Macaca mulatta: one gene and its partners. The protein of the gene in region 5 interacts with the protein of the main gene of each other region in a pairwise test. Links are inferred from orthologs where the notes say so. Each region holds a gene or a part of one and is shown on either strand. Other genes may lie near its edges.

Region 1 (4,087 bases), on a different chromosome or scaffold from region 5:
CAACACTTTACAGAGTGCTGCGCTGACCCGACAAACTCCAGGGCCAAGTCCAGCCCTCCTGTGCCCAGGACCCTCCTGCGGCCACCAGTTCCGACCTCCCTCCATCCTCAGCCCCTGGGGTTCCCTCCTCTCGACCTCCAGACCCCACACCTCTGTTTTCCGTGCACTCCCCTCCCAGCCCACCCCCCAACTCCCATTCCTCCTCCAAGCTCAGGAGAGATGTCACATCCTCACTCCAACACCCAGCCCTGGTGAGGCCACCATTTGCGAACTCTCCTAGCACCTAAGGCTTAAGATCACAGACCCACCGCGCGGTCACCACATGGCTCCACTGTCCTTAGGTGCTGCCATGTCTACCGTGCTGCCCTGTAAGATCCCGGTGGCAGGAACCACCTGGTTGCCCCTGCATCGTGGCCATCCTAAACGTCACAGTCGGTAACGCTGGTTGATTAAGTCACAGGTACTCCAAGCAGCACTCGAGATCCCCGTCGCTGACACCACCTTCTTGGAGACCCTGGCAGTTCCGAGCCAGATCTGATGTTACTGGGCATTTACTGGGCAGCGGGGGTGCCCCTGAAGTGCCTGCTCGTCTACGTGACGGAAACAGCCCAGGAGGCACCAGGCAAGAGGAGATGCTAACAACACCTCAGCACTTGTCAGCACAGGCCCTACGTGCGAGAACATCTCCTGCCGCTCCCACTTCCTCATCGCGGGCGTAGCAGCACTGCACGCCGGTGCCCTCAGAACAGGAAGGGCCTGCCTCCCACTGCTCCGTGAGTGCTCAGCACCTGATGAATTCAAACCCAGCCCTACACCCCAGTGGGGTTCCAGATGAGGGACAAGTTCCCAGGAGGCTGAGGATGTCTCCCAGACCACACAGCAAGGAAGGGGCCATCCTGCCCGGCCACCATGCCCCCCGGCTCTCCAGGAGGACACAAAGGCAGGGTGCCGGTTCCCTTGTTGCTATGAGCCTCCGGTTAGGCAGAAAGAAGCACCTCACTGCCACAACCACCTGCAGGGACTCACTGTGGTGGAGCGGAGATGAAGAGGTGGAGATGCTGACATCAGGGGCCGTCTAGGACCTCTGCCGACCCACAGGCTCCACACCTGAGTCTCTAAAGTGTCAGGAGGTCTCCTTCAAAGTCCTCAGAAAAAGCGTCTATGTCCAAAACCTGGGGCTTCATTCGAAACACAGAAAAAAATGTTCTACCTGAAGAATTCTCTCCTCAGGAGAAACACCAGGACGTGTGGATACAGTGTTAAGGGTGGGGAGCCCTGGTCACCCCTCCACCACGTCCAGTACTGGGCTGCACGAGTGCAGGGACCTTGGAACATCCTAAAAAGGACTTTTTCCGCCCACAGCAGGTTCAGAGCCACTGTTGATAAAAACTGTGCCGCTCAGGACAGCCCGCCCAGCCCAGCCTCAGTGAGTGGCACGGTTTGAATCTTCATCCCCGCCAAATCTCACGCTGAATTATGACCCCCAGCGTTGGAGATGGGGCCTGGCAGGGTGGGCGTGTGGGTCACAGGGACAGATCCCTCGTGGGTTGGTGCCGTCCTGGTGATAGGGAGTTCTCACGAGATCTGGTCATTAAAAGGTGTGTGGCACCTCCCCACCCCCAACTCTCTTGCTGCTTTCGCCATGTGACTTGCAAGCTCCTACTTGGCCTTCTGCCATGACTGGAAGCTTCCAGAGGCCTCCCCAGGAGCAGATGCCGGCACCTTGCTACCTGTACAGCCTGCAGAACCAGAAGCCAATTAAATCTCTTTTCTTACAAATTACCCAGTCTCCGGTATTCCTCTACAGCAATGCAAGAAGGCCCTAACAGTGAGCCCGGAGGCCACTCATGCCAGGAGCCCATCATCTCTGAGTCAGTCTACACCAGCTCTCCTGCAATATTAATGCTATAGAAGAAACTGACAGGCAACCCTCAGGAGAGAATTCAGAGCAGGAAAGGTTCTCTGAAGTTCTTGGCGCCTATCCTCTCATTTGCAGATGAAGAAACTGAGGCTTTGCGCGGTGGCCACTAACTGGGGACACAATTGGGCCCAAGAAGTGGTCACCACTACCCTCCCTCTGTGTAAGGGAGAAAGAGGAAACAGCCTCCATCTATGAGACCAACTAGAGTGTAGGCCCGTCTCCCCCTGGGGGGCCACCAGGGTGCAGGGCCCGCCTCCATCTAGGGGACCATCAGGGTGCAGGGCCCGCCTCCACCTGGTGGGCCATCAGGGTGCATGCCCGTCTCCACTTGGGGAACCATTAGGGTGTGGGGCCCTTCTCCATTTGGGAGACCATCAGAGCTCGGGGCCCGCCTCCATCTGGGCACCATGGGGCACGGGGCCCTCCTCCATCTGGGGACCATTAGGGAGCGCCGCCTGCCTCCTCTGGGGGACCATGGGGCACGGGGCCCTCCTCCATCTGGGGCTCACCACGGGCGCAGGCCCCCTCCCTCGGGGCCGCCTCCCCAAAGCTCTGCCCGGGTGCGACCGGGAGCTCAAGCCTCCCGCAGTGTGGGCACGTCCGTCCCGCCCCGCCCCGCCCCGAGGTGGGGACGCCGCCGCTCCCCTCCGGCCGGCCGGGCGCCCCGCGTACCCCGGGAGAGCCGAGGAGCCGGCCCGCCCGCCGCCGCTGAGCAGTAGCCCGGGCCCGAGGCCCTTCCCGCAGCCGCAGGTCGCCGCCCCCGCCCGACCCCCGCCTGGCGGCCTCACCGGCCCGCGCTGAGTGCTGACGGTGGTCGCCATGGTGCTGCGGCGGCCCCCGTGGCTCGCCGACCCGAGAGTGACTCGCCGGGCGACCTCCTGCGCCCCTGCCGGAGCCTGCGACGGACACAGTTGTCACCTCGAGGCCGCCGCCGCCACAGTCAGCTGACAGGCGCCGCGCCCCGCCCCCGGGGCCACTCCACTGCGCAGGCGCCGCTCCAGGTACGGCCCCTTCCGGCTCTCTCGCGCACGCGCGCTCCAGTGTCGGGCAGGCACAGCCTCTTGCCCGGCGCCTGCGCAGCCGCTCTCTCCGCGAGCCCCGCAGCTCAGCGAAATGGCTCCCGGCGGGGCCGTCTGCGCATGCCCAGTCGTGACGGCCGTCGGCGCGGACCCGAGTGTGGCGGCGCTGCAGTCTGGGCAGTTTGGCTCCTCCTCGGTCCTTGCCGAGTGGCGGCAGGACCTGGCCACCTGGCGGGGGTGACCTGCGGCCGTGCGGCCCGCTCGGAGAAGGGAGGGAACTGTGGCCCGGAACAAACCAGGGGCAGGCCCGACATCCCCTCCAGCGCGATCTTTCCCTCAGCTGACTGCGGGAGGAAGGGCCTTTCTGTTGCAAAGGGCTAAAGATGGGGCGCGGTTCCGCCCCGGGGCGGCTGCCGGCTGAACGGAACGGGGATGGAGCCGCTGCCAGAAGAGCCCGAGTTCGAGCCCGCCCTGCCCTCGGCCTCCCCGCAGCGCCGCTCCGCAGGGGCCCCGCTACCCTCCTGCTCGCTGCGAACCCCAGTCCGGCCTGACCTCGCCCCCCGCGCTCAGGCGCTCCAGCCAGAGCGACCCCAGCTCCAACAGCGCTGGGTAAACTGAGGCCGAACCCCGCTCGCTGCATCCCCAGGAATGGGGCGTTTACGGTCACAGGCACAGGTTAATGTTTACCCAGCAGACCCGGGACTCGGGTCCTGATGTCCGGGTATCTTAACTAAAAGCCTTCTTAGTTGAAGTTTCGCTTTAAAGATCATGATACAGATGCTCGCGGAGGACAGGCGTTACGCAAAGATTAGCAATCCTTTGTTTGACGAGCCCAGGTAGTACAGCACGTCTCCCCCGTGATGTTTTTTGGCTTTTATCTTACATATAAACAAGCGTTGTATCCAGGTGGACGCCTTCCTCCTTATACTTTTGGGAACACCCTGCTCTATGGAGTAGCCTTTCTTTTATTCCTTCGCTGCCTTAATAAACTTATTTTCACTTTGCTCTGTGGACTGGCCTGGAATTCTTTCTTGCACAAGATCCAGGAACCCTCTTTTGGGGTCTGGATCAGGACCCTTTACCAGTAACACAACCACTGCACCAAAAACTCTTGTCTGTGATCTCTATATTGTTAGTGGTCAGTTCT
Region 2 (2,872 bases), on a different chromosome or scaffold from region 5:
GATGCCCTTTGGATGCCTTAAAAATGAAGCCAATAAGCATGACTTATTTTGTTGATCAGCTGAAAGATTAGGCACATCTCTCTGCCTATTCATGGTGACCGTCAACCCTTGAGGCAAGAAGCAGGTCACCTGGGCCACAGCAAAGGACAGCAGAGAGACCGGAAGTGGGAGAAGCTATGAATTTAGGACAAGAGATTATCAAGGCTTGGTTTTCCTGTATCTGTGGATCAAATGAAGTCCTACATCTGGCCTTAATCTGTGGTGGAGCTCGGCATATCTGTAATTGAAGACATTCTTCTCTTTTAGATAATAAAATGTTACCGCTGGAAGAAAATTAACAAACGACTCAACTGGACCATCTTATTTTGCCCCCAGATGCCATAGTCTAAGAAGGTATGGGTGGCTGGGTAGGGTGAAATGCTACTCACTAAACTAGCAGGCTGGTTCCCCTGCTTTGTTCCATTTCTCTTCCTTGCTGCCCTGAGAAAATAAATAAGACAATAAGATGAATGCAGTCTTTATTTTCTCTAAAATTTGAAAGGTAAAGGGAACACTTTACAAAAAGAAACCATCTGCATGATTGAAATGGGAAGGTCCAGGTGAGAGGAAGGAATCTACTTGACCAGGGTTAGCCAGGATCTTTGTGTGTTGGTCCAGACTCCAGGGTGGTGGCAAATAGTTTTAAAAAGAAAGAGGTCAACCAAGAGTTGGATTGTATAGCCCCTGGAAATAGGCAGTGATGATGCTCTTCTTGCCTCAGCTGAGCATCTGGTGCTGATGAAGGAATTGACCCAATTTCTCAGGCTCTTCTGCCACCCACATGCCCAGCCGGGGATCTACCCAGTCCTGCTGCCCCCAGAGGGTTGCTGACTCTCCAGGTCTTAGAGAAGAATGCTCTGTAGGTATCCACATCTCATGCCATAAGCCAGTCTCACAAGAGTGTGAAGAGTGCAAACATTCCCAGAAGGGTCAAGAGGATCAGAGCAGGCAGGATTCGCAGCACCAGCCAGCCAAGAGGACAATCCTTTAGGGTTGGCCTTCTCCTTGGTCCCCATTCATTATGGCATAGATTGGGCCTGGTAAAGCTGCGGCTCTTCCACCAGCTACTCCCACCGGATTCCTAGAAGCTCACAGCTGACATTCCATAGGCGCTCAGCTGTTTTGTTATTTCGGGCCCTTGGAGACACCCAGGTCCTCTTGCAGTCACTGGAGGGCAGAGGAAGACGGTAAATTCCAGGAATGAGAATTAGCAGTCTGGAAATCTTTATGGTCCCTTTCTCAGAATGTTTCTAAATGTATAAAATACAATATATGCCAGACTCAAAGAAACTAATTATATAAAATGCACTCTAAGAATATGTTAAAAACAAATTTGTGATATAGTAATACACAGGCTTATTTATTAATGTATTCTATAACAAGATCTAGTACCAGGTCTAATTATCAAAAGATTTCAAAGTAGTGGCGAGCAGAAGTGACATTCTAGGATACCTGCAACAACTGCAATGTGATATGAAAATATTTATAATTCTATTGACAAAGTCACAGGTATCACTACTACTACTACAGTTCAGTGCCTACATTCATAATTGAAGAAAATGCCAAATCTCAACTGGAGGTTAAACTAAAGATGAAGTTATTTTCCCATCCAAGTTCACAGGCCCCTTGAATTCTGTTGACAGGCCCACTTGCATCATGAACCCCAGACCAAGCCCTCCAGATTTGCTTTGGAATGAGCAGGGGGCCCGAGGACCAGAGGGATAGGGGGTGGGAAGAGAACACAGTTCTCATCATGTTTGTTTGTTTGTTTGTTTTTAATGTTCCTTTTTTCTAATTATAAAAGCCCTGTAAAACAGTTGGAACATGCAGTGCTGATAAAAGAAGAAAAGCCTATCATGGCTGGGCATGGTGGCTCACACCTGTAATCCCGGTACTTTGGGAGGTTGAGGTGGGCGGATCACCTGAGGTCAGGAGTTCAAGACCAGCCCGGCCAATATGGCGAAACCCTGCCTCTACTAAAGATGCAAAAAACAATTAGCTGTGTGTGATGGTGTGTGCCTGTAATCCCAGCTACTCAGGAGGCTGAAGTAGGAGAATGGCTTGCACCCAGGAGGCAGAGGTTGCAGTGAGCGGAGATCATGCCACTGCACTTCAGCCTGGGCAGCAAGAGCAAAACTCTGTCAAAAAAAAAAAAAGTCTCTCATTCAGTTGCTTTCTGTACAGTCTTTTTTCTTTGTTTGGATATAAATAGAGATGTAGTCTCTCTCTCTCTCTGTCTCACATAAAACCGGGATCATACTGTGTCTAGTTTGAGGAGGATTTTTTTTTTTTTTTTTGAGATAGGGTCTCACTTTGTCACCCAGGCTGGAGTCCAGTGGTACTATCACGCTTCACTGCAGCCCTGACCTCCCAGGCTCAAGCCATCCTCCAACCTCAGCCTCCCGAGTAGCTGCGACTACAGGCATGCACCACAATGCTGGGCTAATTTTTTGATTTTTAGTAGAGATGGGGGTCTCACTTTGTTGCCCAGGCTGGTGTGGAATTCCTGAGCTCAAGCAATCCTCCTTCCTTGGCCTCCCAAACTACTGGGACTACAGGTGTGAGCTGCCGCACCCAGCCTTAAAATTTTTTTTTTTTTTTTTTTTGAGACAGAGTCTCATTCTGTTGCCCAGGCTGGAGTGCAGTAGAGCGAGCTCAGCTTACTGCAGCCTCTGCCTCCCAGGTTCAAGTGATTCTCCTGCCTCAGCCTCCTGAGTGGCTGGGATTACAGGCATACACCACCATGACCAGCTAATTTTTTGTATGTTTAGTAGAGATGGGGTTTCACCATGTTGGCCAGGCTGGTCTCTAACTCCTGACCTCAAGTGATCCA
Region 3 (3,989 bases), on a different chromosome or scaffold from region 5:
CATGCAAAGGCCTGGGGACCCACCCAGGGAACTCGGTCCCTGTCCTGGGCTCCGGCTCCTCAGCCAGCAGAGCCCGGCTCAGTTAATCCCCAGGCCCACCTTGGTCAAGTCTGTTTTCTAATTTCTAAGTTAAGGAATGCGGGCTGGCACTAAACAACCCCACAAGGTGGTGTGTGGTCTGGGTCCCAGGAAGGAGGCCAACGTGGCGAAACGAGCTCAACATTTAACTCAAGTCTGACCCAAATGCTCACTGGAGTTTCTGCGGAAGGAAGCGTATTTTACAAAATCTGTCTTCACGTTAGCCTGAAAGCACATGGGAGACCCGAAAAGCAAACGCCTTGTGGCGGGGAGGGCTGTAGGACTGGGATCAGGAAGGGGGTTGGGGGACAGGAATGGTTGACTTTTTTGGGGTGGGGCAGGATAGCTAGCTGGGAAGAACATATTTAAATTTTCATTTCCCTGAAGTACAAAGTTACTCCATGAGGATCAGTCAAATTTTTAAAAATGAAAACTTATGTTAACCCCACTTTTGACCAAGTACTACCTTAAACCTAAAAGCGGCAACGATGTCACAAAGACTAAAACACAAACGCGGAGAACCTTTGTTCTCAGCAGACAACAGAGCATCTCCGGGCCACAGACCGAACTTCAGAGTTTCTGCAGGCACCGGGTCACCGCCGCCCTAACAGCAAACCTGCAGGCTCTTTAAAAGACAGCTGTGCTCCAGGTGGCCTGGAAGGGGCTTGAGCCTAGATGCTGAGCAGGCACTGGCTTTGCTGGGGGCAGAGGGGGCTTGGCAAATCGTCGGACCCCTGGAACTGGGTCCCGATGGTTGCGGGGCTGGAACACCAGGGGCACAGGTGCCCACGCCCGCGCTGTGTTTCAGTGAGCGCCCGGAATCAGGGCAGAGAGGTGCGGAGAGGGACCCCTTGGACGGTCCCTCGGCACCAGGCCGCGGTGGGACACAGCTGAGGAACGGGGTGCCAAGGGAGGCAGAGGAGCCCACCGAGGGCTCAAGGAGAGAAAATCCCCGTCAAGGCTTTGGTTTCGAGGGAAGCTGCGCTCCAGTGAGGCGCAGGCAAGGCCTCCGCCGGCCCTCATGGACACGTCCCCGGCCCTGACCTCGTCCGCCCCGTACCGCGGGGAGTTCAGCCGCCGGGCTCCTGGCCTCTCCCCCACTCCCATCTCCACCTGGGAAGGACCCCCGGCCCGGACCTACCAGCCACGGTCCTCTCCGGCGCAGGCAGATCTGAGGACGTGGCGGCCTCCTTGATGCTGATGGCCTGAGGGGGCTCCCGGGCGCCGGATATCTGGCCCGGGCCAGGGAGGCTCCCCGGGGAGACGTCGGCAGGCCTGGGCGAGGGGGTCAACCCTGAGCAGCTGCTCTGGGAGAGCCAGTCCACAGAGCCAAAGCTGGAGGGCTGCTGCTGGCCACGAGGTGGGGAGGAGGAGAGGCGCATGGCGGCCAGGTGGGCCGGAGGGAAGGCCGGGCGGGGCTGGCCAGGCGCAGGATCCACCTCCGGCCTCGCCGGGCGGCGGCGTTTATAAGCCCGGGAGGAGGGGGCGGGAGCCCGGTTTGCATACACGGCTAACGCCCGGATAAGCAGCGCCTAATTGCCTTCGATTCAGAGACACAAAGGAGACCGTTCACACCTCCCCGGCTCCTCGGTGTCTGGGGCAGGGGCGGGGCTGCGGGCCCTGGTTAATGGAGAGGGAACGGTTCGGCATCGGTCACCTCCTTTCATCTCTCCCAACCCCCACCCCGCGGGCAGAGGCTGCTGGAAGGTAGGAGGGTCCCGCTCCCACTCGGGCCTGCCCTGGGCGGTGCCGGGCGACCTCTCCTCTCCAGGGGGACGCTGGCGCCTGTGCCCAGCCCGGACACCCGAGGGCGAGCAGGCTTCAGGCTGGGAGAGTCAGGGCGGACTCAGCCGGTGCCCGCGTGCGCTGCGTCCAGGCTGTGCGGTCGCGCAGGAACCGAGGGACGCTTTCCGGGAAAGACGCGGAGGGCTCGGGGAGCGGCGCGCGGGGACGGCAATGTCGGGAGGGGCCTCTCGGGGCACTCGTCCGCTTCCAGCCCTACTCCGGCTCCTCTGGGGGACTCACTCCCGGGGCCATCGCAGCAGCCTCCGCATGCGGGCGCGGGCGGCTCCCTGACCCCATCCGGAGCTGGAAGGGCCGGAGCCACTGCCTCGCGCGGCGGGGTAGACACTCCGCTTCGGCTGCGGGACTGGCGCGTCCCCGCCAAGCCGGGCTGTCCCCACTGTGGCCAGGACGGGGGCAGAGCCGCCGGGGACTGTGGAGCCCAAACCTCACGGGGACGCCTTGAGCACGGGCTCCCGGGACGGTCATCGCGACGCGCGGCCGCTGCTCCCACGAACCTCGGTCCCGAGTTGTTTGCGTCTCCGCGTCCTGGGCGTCCCCGGGTCGCCTGCGCCGTCGGGGTGGGGCGCGGGGCCGAAGTGGCCGGGTGGGAGGCAGCCACGCCGCGAGCGTTCCCTCCGGCCTCGGACCAGCTTCCCGCGCGCCGGGACACACGGACTCGCGTTGCGCCCACGCCGAGGGTAGGACGGTGTCTTCCGCGCACTGGCTTGGGGTCCGCACTGCGTCTCCGGCGGCCGGGGTTAGGCGCGGGCGCAGGTCCGAAGCCATGCGGGGTTTCGGCGCAGACGGGGTCCAGGGAGCAGCCCCGACTCCCGGCCGGGTCCTGACCGCGGTTGCCTCAGCGCCCACCCCGCTCTCCGAAATCAGAAAGACCCGCGGGCCTCGCCCCACGATTACGCCCAACCCGGCTATCCGCGCCTCCCGGGCTGAGAAAAGAGGGAGGAGCCCGGGAGGGGGGCGCTGGGGCGGGACCTCACGGGGAACAGGTGGGTCACAGGTGACGGGGTCGGGGAACGGACCGCGCCGCTGCTGACCCTGGTCTTCCTCGGACCCTGCCGACCCAGTTAGGCCACCGGGCCCTCAAGGGGGAGGCTGGCAGGGGTGGGGCGCTGGGGGCTTTGGACGTGGCCTCGGGGGTAAAACCAGGAGGGCTGGGGGGCCAGGAAGGCGGCCTAGACCCCGTCCCCACTTCATCTCCGGAGAGACCGGGTCACCCCCGGGAGAGGGGATTTGAAGCCACTGCCCAGGACCAGCAGAGTGTTCCGGCCAGGGGCAGCGAGGGCCCAGATGCCTACGGCCACAGGGCTGGCCCCGAGGATGCCCCATGAGGCAGGTACCCAGCCCTCCCGCAGTGGGGGCGGCCCTGCCACCTGGGAGCAGAGGCCCTGAGGGTGGGGGCTGCGGCGGGGCGGTGCCTCAAAGTGGAGCAAAACGCAGCACACCCTCACCTCCCACCCCGCCCCCCAAACACACACACAGAACTTTCGACAGGCAGGGAAAAGGCCCAGAAGCATCCCTTACATAAAGAGGAAACCACTAGCATGGGTTTGTGAAACGCCAGCACCCAGCCTTCCACGTCTCCATCTCTAATTTCCAGGGGCCCGGCCCCGAGGTCTCAGCCACCTTCTGCACGTGGTTCAGCTCCCCTCGCCGGCCCCAGCTCTGCATAGAGCTCCTCCTGCCAGTTTCCCAGCTCCCCCGCACCACCTCCACCTGAACCGCCCCTCCTCACCTTCACACGGCAGGGCCAGACAGCCCCTCGTCCTGGGCCCCCACCCCAGCCCCTTGCTGCGGCTTGGGTGGCCCCTCTCCCCTGGCAAGCGGCCCCACCGCCGTGGCTCAGGCTCCCCCGACTCCTGCAGCCCGGGCCTCTGCCTCCACCCTCCCTCCAGGGCCCGCGGAGGCTGCTCTGGCCCAGGTCTGGGGTCACCAGAGCCTCCGCCTCGGAGCCTCCGTCCGCCCCCAGCTCTGGGACGCGTCCTGATGCGCCGCCATGGGTAGGAGACTTGGGCGCTCCTCCGCCTCCTCCCTCCCAGCCCCTGGGGCAGCCCAGCCCCGAGAATTGCGCCCCGCACGCCGCACAGGGTGGTCCCCGCGGGCGTCGCCCC
Region 4 (4,105 bases), on a different chromosome or scaffold from region 5:
GCTAAAGAACCCCGGGTTTGGCTCAGGTCGTCCTCTACAGCAGTGCAAAAATGGATGCAGGACATCAATTTAGAGGACAATTTAATTAGGAAGGAAGAATACTCCTTCAGTCCAGCCTGCCGCTTCGCATAAGGAAAGTTTGGCTCTTTCTGTCAGGGCCTAACGAGTGTCCAGATTACTCATTCCATGTTGGGGGAAAAGGAAAAACACTAGCCGCCCCTGGGTAGCGAATCCGCAGGTAAATGAGCTCTGCGCTGGTGGTGGGACCACAACAGGAGAAAGGTTGCCGGTGACCCGGCCAGGAAGGCGCACATTGCGCGTTTTCTCAGCCCTGGCCACCTCACATGCCCACGACTCTGCCCCGTGCGCCAGCAGTGGGCCCTGTATTGTAAACAGGCAGTGGGCCCTGTATTGCAATAGCTGACTCCCTGGGCCTGCTCGGCAACAAAGCTTGCACTCAAACCCAACAGTCTGGGGGGCCCCAACATTGGAGAGGCTGAAGCAGGGTCGGGAGGGCTGGTGCTCACCCGGATAGCCCACGGATGGGTGCAGGAGGTCCATGGCGGGCCCAGCCAGGCCCAGCCCGTTCATGCCGTATGGGGGTTGTTTGAGGTAAGACATCATGCTAACAGCTGGGTGGAGGCGCCCCGACGGATCCAGGGGACCTGGGGCCAGAAGCGGTGCAGGGCTCCCACCGCAGTCCTTCAGGGTCTGATGCGTCTGGGGGCCTGGCCTATGAAGACACGAGACACACGGAAACCATCAATCGGAGCCACTTGGCTGCCAAGTCTTGCCCCAGGATAGACAGGGAAGGCAGGTTACAGAACTGCGCAGGGTGGTCAACTGGAATCCACAAGGCCTTAGCCCAGAAACCACAGTTGCTTTGAAAAGTAAAGTTTTCTGGGTCGTCTGGCTCCAGCGTTGGAATGAGCCAAAGACACTGGTAGGGAGTCCATAGGAGTAAGGAGAAGTCAAAGCCAGGCCAGGCTGGGGAGGTCAGAGCAAGAACCGCGGAGTGTGCAAGCTCCCAAGTCCAGGCAAAATTCTGAATCCGGCAGAAGCCAGCTTCATGTTGCACAAGCAAACGTTCACTTGGTGCCGGGACGGCAGGCCTCCCGGAGCATGAGGGGTTGTTTCATTTTGTTTCACGTGTTTTTGAAAAGGTAGAGACTACAAAGGGCCAAGGTGAGGCAATGTGGAGGGCTAACCGCACCTCAACCTCTTGTCCACTTAGGACACTTGGTTCCTTCAAAGGTCTCCAGGGCTGCGCCCCTGCCCCAGAGCCCGCAATCACCATTCCAGCTGACCTCTCTGTGCCCAGCCACTGAAAGATCGCTGACGCGAAATCCCACCACACCTCAACCGCAGTAACCGGCCCAGGCCTCGCAGAGGGCCAGGGGACGCCGAAGAGGCCACTGTAGAGGGGGGCGACCCCAAGACGCGGCCTGAGGTCGGGAGCGTCTCAGCTGCGGCCAGCGTCCTTCGTTGCCAGCGCGCACCCGGCCTTCTCTGTCCAGTCTGTGCTGCGGACCACAGGGTCCCAGCAGGGGGTGAAGGGTGACTGACCTAGCACCTCAAAGGGTCTCGGGGATTTGCAAAGCCGGAGGGCAGCAAGTCCCGTGCTGTCATCCTTGTAGCTGAACCCGCGGCCCCAGGACACTGTCGAGAACAGAGAAGTAGGCCTCAGCGGCATAGCCCACGCAGACCCGAGCTGGGAGGTGGAAGCCTCGCCCCCGCCGCTGCCAGGAACCCGGGGCGGCACTCTCAGGGGTCAGGGAGGGGCGCTGGAAACTGGGCCTGGGGCTCTGGGGGGCCATTGCTACACCCCGCTTAGCGGGATCGCTGTGAAGCAGGCCAGGGACTCGGGCTAGGACGTTCAGGGAGAGAAGTTAGAGCTAAAGAAGCTCCCCCCTGCCCCGTTCCCACCCCGGTCTTCTGGGATCCAAGACCTGGGCTGAGGGAGTCCAGCTTGTAGGAAGGGGACGAGAAGAGAAGCAGCCAGGGCTCTAGGGCCGAAGGAAAATGGGACTCAAAGCTGCGACGGCTTTGCGAAGCTGCAGCGTGAGTTTTCAAAGACTTTCTCCAAACTTAGCACTTCAGCTTGGTTACTTCGGAGGAGGCGGGGGAGGGAGCGGCGGGCCGCGACAGCGCCCCGGGGTCCTCGGCTCACCAAGAGGGGAGCTAGGCCGCTCCCCCAGCCCCGCCCACCTGCTGGTGACCGGGGAAGTGGGGATCCATTTGAGGAGGGGGAGGTAAGGGTAACCAACGCGCTCCCGGAGTCCGGGATGGTCCCGCGGCTTTCTCCTTACCTGCCCTCAGCTGCCGGGGACGTTCACCATCTACCTGGATCTCTCACAGAGACCCGCCGGGCAGCCAACCTGCAAAACAGAGCGGCACAGGAATTACCCCGGCGGCTGGTCTAGGACCCCGGGTTTCTTTCTTTTCCCAACTTCCTTCCTCCCACCTCTATCTTTTTTTTTCAGTGGCTTTGTGCGTGTCCCTCTGGGTTTCACTTTATTGCACAGACACTTTGTTTGCTAAGCCCCACACGTTCTCAGGCAGGACATTGCCTCGCCCGGAATCGCGCCGAGGGGCCGCAAGGGGGGGAATTCGAGGGCAGAGTTGGGAGGTGGCTCGGCGTTACCGCGGCACTGCCGGTGCAACGTGGAGGCAGTGGGGACTGGGAAGTCCTGCAGAGTCACTTTGCAAACTAAATAAATCAAGCGATTTACCTTGTCGGAGTGGCTTGTCTTGCTCGGTTGTTTAGGTGATTGGAAATGTAGCCTGATGAAGATTGATCACCTTTCTACTGCCCTCCCCGGGTATGTGAACGCGAGGCGAGTGCGTAACGGGGCTAGGCCGCCAATCGGGGGCCCCGCGCGGGCTGAGTGACAGGGAGCCGGGCAATGGCAGCGCGAGCCGGGGGTTACCTCCGCGCGCCCCCGCCCTCCCCCGCCCCCCACACCCCGCCCTCCCCTCCCGCCCGCCCCGCCCCGGTCGCGCGCTAACTCCGGGACTCGGCTGGCAAAAGCGGCTCAGAGCTAGGCGAGGAAGGCGAGCGGAGAGCCCGAGTCCTGGCCGCGGAGGGGGCCGCGGGTCTCCAGGCCTTCCCTGGGCGCCCCCGCCCTTCTCTCGCGCTCTCGGCGCTCCGGAGGGAGTGGCAGAGACGAGGAGAGGTGCTGGAGAACCGGTTCCTTCGCTCTCCTGCGCGCCACCGGGCTCAGCCGCCCGGGTGTGGGCGCCAGGACCCGGGGGCGGCGGGCTGGAGGAGCCCGGGCCTCGGCCCCTCTCCTGGCGCCGCGGGCCCCAGCGTTTTCTTCCTCTGCACCGCCACCTGAGACCGACGCCGCGGGCGGCTCGTGCCGGCGCAGGCTACTTTGCAGAGCGCGGGAGCAGCTCCGGGCGTGCAGATCTCTCCTCGGCGCCTCGGGACTCTCGCGCCTGGGAAGAGCACCCACTGGGAGGGCACAGCCACTTACCTGCTCATCGGCATCTCCCGGGGTTCCCGGTCCCCACCAAGGGTGTTTGCAAGCCTTAAGCGCTTCTTCTGAAACGTTGGAGCCCAGCGTCCTCTTGCCCTCACATGTACACCCTACTTCTTAATTCAAACATTTTGATAGGAAAGTTTCTTTTTCATTCTTTCTCTCTCTTTCCTAGTCTGCCTCTAACAGGGACTTTTTGATGGAAAATGTGGCCACAGACCCCTGCCCTCAACTTTTTTCCACATGCTGCGTAAGGAGCCTCCTTGAGGCGATTTCCCCGGATTGTTCGTACGGGCGAAGCCCATTTCCCAGTGGAACAAACTTCCCAAACACGTCTGCCTGGGTGGACTTTTAAAAGTGCAAAAAAGAGTTTTCGTTCCAACTCTGAGCTAGGAGAATCTTTTAAATGGCACCTCCTTCTGAAAATTAGGCACTTTATTCCCTTTCGAGGAATTTCTACCCCTTGTTTCTAATCTCCCCCACTCCCCCACCCCGACAGGCGGGGTAAAAAGTTTGCACAGGAGTAAGTGTGAGGGCGAGTCAAGGAGCCTCCAGGCGCATCGCAGTGGGGAGCACCCGTGCTGCCCAGGCTGCGGGGTCGGGCGCGGAGAGCAGACAGGGCG
Region 5 (3,953 bases):
AGGCAAAATTACCCGGATCATTCAGGCCACCTTAGTTTCTTTTCCTGAATTTCTGACATTATAAACCCCCTCTCTTCACAGTCTTATCTGTTTTGTACACGACATCTCTTGGACAACTTAGGTTCTGAAATCTTCCTACCAGTCCCCTTATTTTTTACATAACAAGTGTTTTGCTAAAAATATCCATACTTTCTAGAGCCACATGCCATTCCTACCTGAAAAAGAACACTGTCAGGTAACAGGACAAGTAAGAGGCAGCAACCATACTGCAATGGTCCGCGATTATACAGCAATTATTACACACAACCTCGCAAGGACAGAGGAGCGTCCAGGAACAGGGCAGGCAATCCCTCGGTCCTGGCAGCTGTTAAGATGGGTCAAGCGGAAAAATGTGCCTTTTCTATACTTAATTTTAAGTGGGTATGATTTTTAGGACATTGAACCTCTTTTGCTACCCACCAAAAGGAAAAAAAAAAAGTTTTCTCAACTGGGTAAATAAAGATGGTTTGATATAATATTCTAACCCTGAGAAGCAAACAGATTGCACATTTAGCTGAAATAGGAAGATTTCTGAAGCGATAATTATTTTGATATGGTAAGTGAATTAGTTAACTATAGTAATTCCTAAAAAAGCAAATTTAAAAAAGCATTATTTTTAAAATTTTTTAAGTGGTAGGGAAAATAAATAGCAAAGCAGCCAGTAAAGTTCAAGAAAAAAAGTCAGAACATACCATTCAACTCTCCATTGCTTTGAAAAAAGAAACGCCAGTAGCATTCCTACACTTGTAATTAGAAAACATGCATGTAAACAACTCTTCAAATAGTCTTTTATAATAAAATAGAAAATGTCCTCGGGTGAGAAAGCAATTTTTGACTGACTGCAACTCATCTAGGTTTTCACTACCATACAACTGGGTAAGAGAGTAAAATCTCCGATTTTGCACTGTTTGGCATAGTCTCGCTCCTCTACCTTCTCCACCTAAATAGTTCCCATTTCCCAAGTGGACAATGTGCAGAGAACTTGTATGCATTAATGAATTCCTCTGCAATTTTGGTTTCACTATCAGAATTGAAGTTTGCACACAACAGTGTCTCAACAATGATCTCAACGTCCTAACGCTTTAGAATCCGTTTACCTTCTGTGTTCACCTAGATCAGGATGCAATACCTGTGTGAATCTTTTCGGGTCATATTGAGCCATGCACTTTCCTGCATCTGCACACACTCTCAAGTTCCTCTAGAATGTTAAGAACTCAACTGTGTGTGATATTAAAAAGTACGCCAGAAGTAATTTCTTGGACTCCAGATAATGTACCTGCAGAAACAGTCATTTGGTAGGATACCACAAATACCCTACTACTGAATTCTGAAACGTTTGTTCCTGAGTCCGACTCCCCTTCTGACTACATCTACTCAATTTTGTTTCCACCGAAGGAACGCTCCGCAGTCACAAAACTTTCATCGTGAAGACGCACCACCCAAAATGCGTGCTCAGAAGTCAAAGTCCTATAAAAGTATCCTCGATGAGCATTTGGTGAATTGCTGCGTTTTTAACCCTCTTATTCTGCTCCCCTCATCTGCACGGCCCTAAATTCGCAAGCGTTCACCGCCCAGGTTCGGGGTCTTTGACTCAGCAGAGAAGAATGTGGCTGATGAGTTATCTATTAATCCAAAAACCCTCGGCTAGAAAGATATTTCACCAAGAACTTTTAACACGGAAAGGGAGGGGGCAGGGAACAGAGGTATCTTTTAATGAAAACTTTTCCCCAAGTTTCTTCCTTAAACTGCCCCCCCCCGCTACCCCGAATCCACACACAATTTCCAGCCCCAGCCCTAAGTCCTGACCCTCCGAGTCCCGATCATCTGAGGTCACCCAGGAGTCAGCTCTCGGTTCCACTTTTTAAATCCCGGGCAAACAAAGCTGAGCATTATACTTACAAAAGTCTCCGAAAAGTCCTTAGAGTTACGCAATTTGGGGCCCGCAGACGCGCGTGGACACAAAAACACACTTTCCCGAGATCCACCCTCCCCGGGCCACACTGCGGGGCTGCGTCCCGGGCACGGGCCATGCCTAAACCTTCCACCGCCGCGCCCCGGGCCCGCGCCCGCGCCCCGCCGGCCGCCCGCACTGGGTCCCGGATCGCCCCCGCCACTGCACCGAGCCGCCCAGTACCTCCTCCTCCTGAAGGTTGGCCTCGCTCGGGGTGTTCTCCTTCTCGGCTTTGCCGCCGTTGTTCATCTTCCCGGTCCTTCCTCGCCGGGCCGGGCAGGGCTGGGGCGCGGGGCTGGGCGAGGGCGCGCTCGCCCACTGTAGCCTTCCCCGGGCGCCGGGGCTCCCTCGGGCGGGCGCCGCGGGCTGCGGGGCTGGAGCTGGAGCCGGGGCAGTGGCTGTCGGGCTGGGGCTCCCGCGGCGAGACTGCGACGGCAGCGGCGGGCGACTCAGGAAGTACGAGGGAGAGACGGGGCAGGGCGCGGGCCGAGAGCTGGGCACCGAGACAATCGGGCCCCGGGAGGGCGACCTGGATAGGGAGGGCGGGAGCCAGGGGAGGAAGGAAGAAGGAAGGAAGGAAGCAAAGGATGGGGCGAGAACGCGCGTCCCAGGAGTAAGCGCAGAGAGTTGGGGCTGGGGGCTGCAGCCGCTGGAAGGAGGGGACGGGGGTGCCTAGAGAGGAGGAGGAGGAAGAGGAGGAGGAGGAAGAGGAGGAGGAGGAAGAGGAGGAGGAGCGGGGCGGAGAGGCGCGGGCGGCGGCTGGGACGCTGGGACCCGAGAGCCGCTGAGTGCGCGCTCCAGGCAGGCTCTGGGAAGTCCGGGATGGAAGCAGCTCCCTTTCTCTCGTCTTCCTCCCTCCCCTCTCCCCTCCCTCCTCTCCGCGCCTCTCCTCCTCCCTCCGCCCTCCCTGGACGTGGGCTGCCGGCTGCAGCCCGGAGGGACGGGGCGCGGGACGGAGCCCCCCGCGGGAGGAGGGGCCGGCGGCCGGATGGCGCGCGCCGGGGAGGGGCCGCGGGCGGCGGGCGGAAGCGGCGACCCCAGCCCCAGACTCGGCGGCTGGTCGGAGGGCGAGGGCCCTGGAGGCCGAGGGCAGGGGAGGTCGGGTACTGCAGTTCCCTCGGCCCCCGGGGGCCCCGGCGTCTGCGCGCCCCGGGACTTCGGGGACCCTGCCCCGCCGGGGCCAGGACCGGGAGCTGGGATGTGTGCGACTTTTGTTTGCCGGCTTTTACCAAGGGATTTGCACCCCTGGCCCTAAGCCCACCCTTCCCGAGCCAGACCCGGTTCTTCCCCTGCTGCTTGAATGACAGGATGAGAACTCGAGGGATACTGGGGACAGCCCCCTCCGGGCCGGCTTTTTCAGGACAGGGCTTCAAACCCATCTCCAGCGCGGGTCCTGCGACGCGCCCGGAGCCTTCCCCGCTTCGCTGCCTGGGCGTCCCGCGGCCCCCGACTCCTCTCCCAACTCTCACCCGACTGTTCTGGGATTGTTTACTTGGCCTCTCCCTCACCCTTCAGAAAGCTCCTTCCTGGAAGAAAAAACCACAAACTTACCCTATTTATCTTTTTAATCCCACGGCTATTTAAACGAGCTACCGGGTGTATAGTAGGCACTCAATAAATATTTGTTGGCAAAGTGAATATTCCTCATTGCAGGCAGAGCTCGGGGTCCACACGGAGGAATTTCAGAGGCTGGAAGCACGCTTGAAGAAGAAAGGGGGCCTGGGCTTTGCACCAACTTCAGGATTGCGTACTTGTTTCCTCATCCGTTAAATGGGAGCAGCTGAATGTGTCTCCTAGCGTTTTCGAGATTGTAGGTTGATAGAACTATGTACAGCACCCAGTATTCATTCTTGCTTCGTTTAGGTTTACAGTACATGGAAGCTAACATTATTAAGGAAACTTCCATTTTTCCCGGGCCTTAGAAAGCTTTTCCAATACTCGATCGTTAAAGCTTCTGGTTTTT
Region 6 (3,500 bases), on a different chromosome or scaffold from region 5:
ACAGTAGAATAAGGCTGGCATGTTGGCATGAGGAGTAGCAGGGCAAAGCAGTTAGGAGTGCAAAATCTGGAGCCTGGCTGCATGGGTTCAAATCCCAGATCTGTCACTCAGGAACTGGGAGATTTTGATCAAGGCACTTAACCTCTTTGGCCTCAGTCTCCTTGTCTGTAAAATGGGGGTAAATAACAGAACAAATGTTTCTTATTATACATATGAGGAAACTGAGGTCCAGAGAAGCTAAGTAATTTGTCCAAGGTCACACAGCCAGTCAGGGATGGAGCTGGGATTTGAACCCACAGTCTCAGAGTTTAGCTCTTTCATCTTACTACTTATTGGGATTAAGCCTGGGCTGAGATCTGTACCCCAGACCTCTCCCCACAAGCCAGGGCCAGTGGACTGGCACAGGCCTGGGCTACTCACTTGAGGAAGTCCTCTGGCTCTTCGAAGACTTTCTCACATCCGGGCCACTTGCAGACACCATTTGCCAGCAGTGGGTAGGAGCTCTGGGGCATGGCCGAAAGGGTGCTGGGGGGATAGAGGGTGTCAGGGGAGGGGATAGGAGGGTGAGGATCCTTCCCAGCCCTGTCCACTGACCTGTCCTTCCTGGGTGCACCAGGATTTGGGAAGGTGCAGAGCAGTGCTGGCTCCCTGGACACCCATTCCAGGCTGGCCACGTTGATCCCTGTGGGTGGGGACAGGGCATCTCTGGAGGCTGTGGGCTGGGCTCTGGAGCTTGACCCACAAGGCCTCTCATTTTGAGCTTCCCACCCTCCTGAGCCTCAAAAACCCTGACTCCCAGGGGGTTCTGCTGTCCCCAAAGTCCCAGGCTTCTGGCAGAGAAGCTTAAAGACGGCCATTCGCAGGTGCTGACATTTTGACTAGCTTTGTAAAGCTCTGTGGTTTCGTGATTTTGACATTCTGCATCTTTAAGGTTCTGCACCTGACATTTTTTGGAGGTTGGAGTTTCCAAGCCTCTGAGACCTGACACCTTTGACCCTCAGAGGACTGCAATTCAGAATAGCCTACACTGCTCACGGCCAAGGATCTGGGGACCCAGGGGTTCTGTGAAGCCATGGGGTATGGGCTGAGGTGTTACCAGGTGGGAGGCCAGGCCGGGCCTTGAGGGAGAAGACCCCAGTGGCAGTGGTGGGTGGTGGGAGGCTGATCATGGCTGGGCTCTCCAGGGGGTGCACCTGCAGCACAGGGGTCCGGGCGTGGGCATCCACCGTTGAGAGCTGGGGGGCACATGTGGGCTGTGGTTCAGCCTGGCTTGGGGTCCCTCCCCACAGTTCTCCCACCTGCTCCCTCCTCCCTGCCCATTCACCGTCCATACCTGGTGCATGAAATGTGGCCTGTCCTGGAGGAGTGCCTGTAAGTGGGGCAAGGGGCCCAGCCGTGCCCCGGAGGGTGCCACCATGACTAGGGGCAGTGTGGGCAGCTGGGCAGAAAGGCAGGTGGGTGAGAGGCCATCCTGATCCTCAGTGTTCTGTGTCTAATTCATATACTCTGCACTGCAAGCCCACATGGTAGATGCTATGATCGTCCCCCTTTTATACGTGTGGAAACTGAGGCTTATGGAGATCGAGTAACTTTTTAAAGATCAAACAGCTAATAAGTCGCAGAGCTGGCCTCAACCCTATCACCTCACCTCCTTGGCCCCAGTCCTCTCCTCTTGTCACATGGGGATGGGGACACATAGCTATGCCCATGGGACTATAATATGGCCTCCTCTTCTCCTGAGACAGGGATTGGGAGGTTGGGGAGAGCCTCCAATCTCTGAGGCCTGGCAGGTGGGGACTTTCTTGGCCCTGCAACATCTGCATAAGTCACAGACTTGCCTGGGACCCAGAAACCACTTCCTGTGCCCCAGCCAGCCCCCCTCCCGCCCGGTGCCACAGTAAAGGTCGGCACCTGTAGGTCCAGGTACCCCACCCTGCCTGCCCCATCCTGGGCCCAGGGCCTCACCTGCAGCTGCGATGGTGGCATAGGGTTCAAGGAGGAAGAGGAGGCATGAGCCCCGCCTCGAAGATCTCGGCCCTGGAAGATTCCCCCAGGGCCCCGGGCCCCCAGCAGGTCTGAGGCTTTGGGCGCAGCCCTCCAGCTGGGCGAGGCTCCTGGGGATGGGCCAAGGGCCAAGGAAGGGGCCGAGGGCTTGCCTGGCCTGGGGTTGGGCATCGGGTCCTTGTCCAAGGGCAGGCTGTGTAGACAATAGGGGAAAGGAGTCACACATGTGCTAGGGCGGTATAAGATACTCAACCACCTGAACCACGTGGACACCCCTCTGGTCAGAGCAGGCATTGGCTGGGACATGTCCCGAGGGGTCCCACAGCTGCACCCCAGCTCTGGACACACACACATACACACACACATACACCCCCCCAAGAACACAGGTACACATGCATACCCACACACGCCCCACGTGCAGAGGTCTAGCACCTGGCTTGCCTGCCCACGCTAGCACAGCCCTGGTGTGGATGTGTCCTCTATGAGGGCAATGGTTGTTTCTCCCTCCACTTGAGAGCTGTTTCAAGCCTCAGGCCTCCAGCCCTCCCGCACCCTGCACAGGCTGTGTTTGCTCATGTTGCCGGAGCTGGTCTTGGACTTTCTCCTGGGAGTCCTATTTTGCCCCAGTGACTAGGCACGGACTCAAAAGATTCATCTGGCTGCTGTGAGTGGAGCTAGTGAGAAGGCTGTTGCAATAGTCCTGGCAAATGATGATGCTGGCACAGAATGGGCTGGTGGCAGTGGAGAAGGTGAGAAGTGGGTAGATTCTGAGACTTAATCTGCAGCTGGATCAGGAGCAGTGCTGGCAGCTTGGATGTAGTGGGTAAGAGGGAGGGTCAAAGTAACATGGGTTTTAGCTTGAGCAGCTGGAAGGACCGAGCTGACATTACCTGAGATGGGGGACATGGCGGGGAGTTGGATTGGGGGCAAAAGTGCAGGTGTGGATAGACATGAAGAGTCTGGCATTAGATGTGTGAGTGGAGGAGCTGAGGGGGCAGCTGAATACGGGGGTCTGGATCTCAGGGCAAGGAGGCGAGTCCAGGAGTGTGATCATGCACGGATCCAGCATGGCAAGTGACAGAGAGGAAGAGAGACAGGGTCTCTTGAGCTGGGGCCTGTAGAAGCTTCTCAACCCAATCCCCATCAGAGTTCACTCCAATTTCTGGCCCTCGAGCCTGGCTCATCCTACTCACCCTGCCTCAAATGCCCACTCCTTCTCCTCTTCCCCTGTCCAAGCCACGCAAGGCCTGCTCTTCTATTGTCCTCACCTTGAAAGCCCTCCACAATGGCTCCAGGCCCCTCTATTGAGCCCCAGAATCTTCCACTCCCCGAGGGAAGCACTGGCTTTTCAGGATCCTGTAATCCTGGTCTGAGAGGAAGCCAGAGCTGGAAGGGACTGCCCAGCCAACCCCATTATTACAGAAGGGGATGCTCAGATGCCGAGTTCCATAGTCCCATAGTGACTTGAGAACTCCACTTCTTTCTTTAGGAAGTGT
Region 7 (4,179 bases), on a different chromosome or scaffold from region 5:
GGGACACCCAGCAGGCTTTGGGCTTGGGGTAGAGAACGCCCTTTCTGGAGCCGCCTTTGTGGAATGCAGAAGGGCGGTTGGCGTCCCCGCCCCACACCAGCTGGGGCTCTTTCACTGACAGCCCCTCTTTGCCAGGAGGCCCCAATAGCACCCCATCTTTAAGTCTGGAGAAGAAGTCCCTGGGGTGCTGGCTGACAGGCTTCAGCACCTCGGTGGGGTGGGTGTGGAAGCAGCCCGTGAAGATGGGGGCTGCCGGGCAGGGGCCCGCCTGCACCTCCTCCCTGAGGCTGCCACCCGGGGACTGCAATCCCTCCTGAGAGGTCAGCCGGTGCCTGGAATTCTCAGTCAGCCCTTTGGGGCTCTGGGGACTCCCTGGGAGGTGAACAGCTGGGGATGCCTGGGGCTCCGCCCCATGGCGACAGCCCTCCTCCTGGCACTGCAAGGCCTCCACCTTGCTCACCTGGGCCAGGAGCTTCTTTTTGGCCAGTGGTGACATGATGCCGTGTGTCCCCTTGCAGTAGAAGCTGGATAGGAGCCGCTTGTAGGCCTCAGGGCAGCCGCTGGTACCCACAAAGGACACAGAAGACCCAGAGGCCGGGCCCTGCTGTTCTGTACTGTTTCTGGGGGGCTCCTGGCTAAGAAGCGGTGCTGGGTCAGCAACATCTGCTTTGGTCTTTCCTGGCATCATCTGGAATGAGAGAAAGCCATGCCTCAGGGCTGCCCGAGCCATGCATCCTGACCTCAGGAGCAGGAGGCGGCACTTTCAGGCCTGCCCAGGTTCCCCGCTAGCTCTTGCAGTCCTTTGTGCAGAATTTTCCAAAGGAGCCCTGTCCTCTGAGCGGACACAGCCTCAGGTTGGGACACAGGGCCTGGTGGTGGGGTGCAGGCTGGAGTTCAGTCTGCTTGCACAAGTAGAGAACTTGCGCACTGTGGAGAACCTGGAACCTTGCAAGTCCCGCCCTGGGTGCATGTTCGGTGTGTTCTGAGCAGACAGCTCCGTGGCCACAGGGAGTTGTGGGGTGGGGGGGCTGCAAGAGGCAGGGAACAGGGTGGCCCCACCCAGCCACAGGCGTACCTGGTCCATGCGCCGCTCCTCCTTGGCCTTCTTCGGCCGCTCGGTGGCCCCATCATCCCCCCTGTTCTCCTTGGCCATCTTGTACTGTTTCCTGGGCTTGGAGGTGGGCAGCGGCTTGTCATCCTCCCCCTTCAGGTGCCGCACATATGGCAGGACCAGCCTGGGGAGGAACCGGGCATGTCCCCCAGGAGGTCGGCGCCCATCCCCTCCACCGGCCTCTGTGGCCTCCTCTGAGCCCCTCTTTCCCGCCGGCGCCGAAGAAGACCCTCTCCTCCTCGCCCCAAAGCTCAGCTCCCTCGGTGGCTGCGCCCAGCCAGCCTGGGCCCCCGCAGCGCTGAGGACGGGGCCCACCCCGCCCGCTCCGGACAGAGTCCACCCAGCCCTCCCGGCAAGGTCGACCGAGCCCCGCAGGGCAGGCGGCGTCCAGCACCCGGGCCCGCCCCCCTACCTCTCGTAGTGGCGGCGCGTGCACGTGGCCGCGCTGGTGCTGCCCGGGCTGCCCCCCAGCTCGTCGTACACGTTCTTCCAGAGGCGGCGCCCGGTCACCTGCAAGGGCACCTGGTGAGGGCGCGGCCGCGAGCGCCCCCTGGCAGCGGGGTCCTTGCGGCTCTGGCCGCCCTCGCAGGGACCAAAGCACTGCGGTTTGGCAGCTGCTCTGCGGCTCCGACAGCGGCTGATTCTCCCTCCCAGGGCCACGGACTGCTGGCCCAAGCAGTTTTTCCAACACGGGGCGGGCAGAACAGATGGGGAAGGCTGAAAAGCTGCTTTGAGCAGCAGAGAACCAGCGGGGGAGGCGGGGAGGAAGGCAGGACTGGGGATCCTGGCTCTTCTCCTGTCCAGAGGCAAGGACAGCGTTGCAGGCTCACCCCAGGGAGATGCAGTCTGGCAAGGACTGGGGGTGCCTTCCTTACCAGCTCATAGGCCCCCAGCTTCTCCACTGCCTTGTAGATCTTCCACAGGTTAACTGGGGAGAGAGGGGCAGGCTGGCCGTCAGCCTCCGTGGGAGGTGGGGCAGCCACCCCTTCCTAGTGCCCTGACACGCGGGCACAGAGCAGCACACACCCAGGCAGGGCCACTGCAGTAGATGGGCAGGCTGTGGCCTGTGCACTGCTGGCCCGGTGGCAGCCTGGAGGGAGGCCTCCTTTCTATCTGCAACCTGGGTCACCCAGAGTGGGAGTGCCTGCCCGATGCCCTGCCTGGGTGGGGTTCCCTGCTGGGCCCCCCTCCCTGCCTGCACCCCAGGGACGCACTCTGCTTGAAGCCGAGATGGGGCACCCTCTCGATGGGCGTGTGTCGCTCCTTCATGAACTTGTAGAGGCTGACCAGGAAGGCCTGCTCCTCCTCCCGCTCCTGCTCCTCCTCCCGCTCCCCGCCTGCCTCGGGGGAGTCCTGGGGAGAGAACAGGAGGCATTGGGATGGGCCCCAGTTGGTGGCTGGCTGCTGGGGACGTGCAGAAACCACTGGCTGCAGGAGGCATAAGGTACCTTGCCCCCAACCCCAGTTTCCCAGAGAGCACCTGGCCACTGTTCTGGGAGGGAGTGACTGTTCCTGGGTTCGGCTGGCACAGGTATCAGCCCTCAGTGCCCTAGGGCAGGGGCTAGAGCTCAGGGCCCCCCCCCAGAGGCTGGGCACCCCAGAGCAGCTGCCTCCAGAGGTGTCCACAAGAGCAGTCCCCAGCCTTCTCCAGGCCAGGATCACTTCTCTGTCTTGTTCTTGATTTGTCATATTTGTGTCAGCTCCTCTGCCAGACTAGGAGCTCCTGGAGGGCAGGCTCAGTGTCCCTGGGACTCCCCGCCGCCCTCCCCCCTACCCCCAATGCCGAGGGAAAAGCTGAAGGAACAAAGGTGCCTGGTGCTTTCCGGTGCCGTGGGTTGCTCTGTCAGGCCCACGTTCCCCGAGCCTCTGTGTGGCCCCGGCCTGCCGTACTGAGCACAGGGAGGTGAAGCTCTGGGCTTCAACTGCACACTGCTGCCAGGGGCACAGGACTTTGGGTTGCGGGTCCCAGAGGGACAATCTCCGCTGATGCCTTCATCCAGCAAGTGGCTCAGGGCAGACAGCCCAGGGCCTACACCCTGTCAGAGAACAGACAGCTTCCAGGACATAAACCATCTAGACTAGGATAGTGCAGACAGCCATGTGTTCCCAAAATATTTGATCCAGCTGGGCATGGTGGCTCACGCCTGTAATCCTAGCACTTTGGGAAGCCGAGGTGGGCAGATCACCCGAGGTCAGGAGTTCGAGACCAGCCTGGCCAGCATGGGGAAATCCCATCTCTACTAAAAATACAAAAATTAGCCACGCCTGGTAGTGCATGCCTGTAATCCCAGCTACTCGGGAGGCTGAGGCAGAAGAATCGTTTGAACCCAGGAGGTGGAGGTTGCAGTGAGCCAAGATTGTGCTACTGCCCTCCAGCCTGGGTAACAGTGAGACTCTGCCTAAAAAAAAAAAAAAATTGATTCAAGTTTATTTCAGTGTTACTTTTTTTGTTTGTTGTAAATAGCTTCTGTAATAGTTCAGTGTTTTTAAGGTATTAAAGACCTCTGAGAAGAAACAACATACGAACTCATATATCACCCATGAAATCGTAACATGCCGGGGCCCTGGGGCTGGTCTGTGCAGACCTCAGAAGGAAGGCTCTCTCATAGCTGCTCAAGTCAATCTGCTCCTCCAGGCCTCTACTCTGAATTTCCAGCAAGCTACTAAAGACAACTACCATTTGCAAACACTTTTCTGCATGAATCTGGATACTTTTCCAGACTGTGCCACCAAAGCAAATGGCCAAAATGAATGAAAGCCGGGGCCAACTGTGCTCCGAAAAAGCTGCCTGCAGCGCCCCCTTCAGACTCTGCTCATCGCAACAGCCCTGTTGGTCTCACCGAGTGACTTTATATGCCCATGTTATGCATCTGGATGAATGGATGTGAATGTGGTTTTGCATCACGGGCTGGAGCTTTTGTCTGTTTTATGGATCAGGGTGGTGGGTCATCTTCACTTGAAAAAAGGGGTCTGCTACAAAAACCAAGTCAATCTTGGTTTCAATAACTCTCTGGCACAGAAGACAAGTCAGTCCCCTGGCTGCTGGACAGGGCCAGGGTAGGAACATA

Evidence for each region.
Region 1: the proteins of RBPMS (region 5) and TOLLIP interact in binary tests that used the Homo sapiens proteins (3 or more experiments, as listed by UniProt). The two-hybrid records come from large-scale screens. The link is inferred for Macaca mulatta from reciprocal best matches to the Homo sapiens genes RBPMS and TOLLIP.
Region 2: the proteins of RBPMS (region 5) and RDH12 interact in binary tests that used the Homo sapiens proteins (3 or more experiments, as listed by UniProt). The two-hybrid records come from large-scale screens. The link is inferred for Macaca mulatta from reciprocal best matches to the Homo sapiens genes RBPMS and RDH12.
Region 3: the proteins of RBPMS (region 5) and VENTX interact in binary tests that used the Homo sapiens proteins (3 or more experiments, as listed by UniProt). The two-hybrid records come from large-scale screens. The link is inferred for Macaca mulatta from reciprocal best matches to the Homo sapiens genes RBPMS and VENTX.
Region 4: the proteins of RBPMS (region 5) and OTX1 interact in binary tests that used the Homo sapiens proteins (3 or more experiments, as listed by UniProt). The two-hybrid records come from large-scale screens. The link is inferred for Macaca mulatta from reciprocal best matches to the Homo sapiens genes RBPMS and OTX1.
Region 6: the proteins of RBPMS (region 5) and FOXP3 interact in binary tests that used the Homo sapiens proteins (3 or more experiments, as listed by UniProt). The link is inferred for Macaca mulatta from reciprocal best matches to the Homo sapiens genes RBPMS and FOXP3.
Region 7: the proteins of RBPMS (region 5) and ARID5A interact in binary tests that used the Homo sapiens proteins (3 or more experiments, as listed by UniProt). The two-hybrid records come from large-scale screens. The link is inferred for Macaca mulatta from reciprocal best matches to the Homo sapiens genes RBPMS and ARID5A.

Annotation. Positions count from the first base shown.
Region 1 is NC_133419.1:1,190,213-1,194,299, reverse strand, and holds the start of TOLLIP (toll-interacting protein), read right to left. Parts: upstream 2,801-4,087; 5' UTR 2,743-2,800; coding exon 2,710-2,742; intron 1-2,709. UniProt on the Homo sapiens protein: Component of the signaling pathway of IL-1 and Toll-like receptors. Inhibits cell activation by microbial products. Recruits IRAK1 to the IL-1 receptor complex. Inhibits IRAK1 phosphorylation and kinase activity.
Region 2 is NC_133412.1:140,909,690-140,912,561, reverse strand, and holds the end of RDH12 (retinol dehydrogenase 12 precursor), read right to left. Parts: intron 1,207-2,872; coding exon 1,104-1,206; 3' UTR 501-1,103; downstream 1-500. UniProt on the Homo sapiens protein: Retinoids dehydrogenase/reductase with a clear preference for NADP. Displays high activity towards 9-cis, 11-cis and all-trans-retinal. Shows very weak activity towards 13-cis-retinol.
Region 3 is NC_133414.1:145,334,222-145,338,210, reverse strand, and holds the start of VENTX (homeobox protein VENTX), read right to left. Parts: upstream 2,801-3,989; 5' UTR 1,461-2,800; coding exon 1,220-1,460; intron 1-1,219. UniProt on the Homo sapiens protein: May be involved in ventralization.
Region 4 is NC_133418.1:61,712,516-61,716,620, forward strand, and holds the start of OTX1 (homeobox protein OTX1), read right to left. Parts: upstream 2,801-4,105; 5' UTR 2,733-2,800; intron 2,379-2,732; 5' UTR 2,310-2,378; intron 734-2,309; 5' UTR 625-733; coding exon 528-624; intron 1-527. UniProt on the Homo sapiens protein: Probably plays a role in the development of the brain and the sense organs. Can bind to the BCD target sequence (BTS): 5'-TCTAATCCC-3'.
Region 5 is NC_133413.1:32,159,362-32,163,314, reverse strand, and holds the start of RBPMS (RNA-binding protein with multiple splicing), read right to left. Parts: upstream 2,801-3,953; 5' UTR 2,240-2,800; coding exon 2,174-2,239; intron 1-2,173.
Region 6 is NC_133426.1:49,332,401-49,335,900, forward strand, and holds part of FOXP3 (forkhead box protein P3), read right to left. Parts: intron 2,611-3,500; exon of another isoform or gene 2,437-2,610; intron 2,198-2,436; coding exon 1,966-2,197; intron 1,439-1,965; coding exon 1,334-1,438; intron 1,236-1,333; coding exon 1,097-1,235; intron 683-1,096; coding exon 421-682; intron 1-420. UniProt on the Homo sapiens protein: Transcriptional regulator which is crucial for the development and inhibitory function of regulatory T-cells (Treg).
Region 7 is NC_133418.1:5,209,287-5,213,465, reverse strand, and holds the start of ARID5A (AT-rich interactive domain-containing protein 5A), read right to left. Parts: upstream 2,801-4,179; coding exon 2,326-2,800; exon of another isoform or gene 2,040-2,325; coding exon 1,987-2,039; exon of another isoform or gene 1,622-1,986; coding exon 1,524-1,621; exon of another isoform or gene 1,236-1,523; coding exon 1,076-1,235; exon of another isoform or gene 689-1,075; coding exon 1-688. UniProt on the Homo sapiens protein: DNA-binding protein that may regulate transcription and act as a repressor by binding to AT-rich stretches in the promoter region of target genes.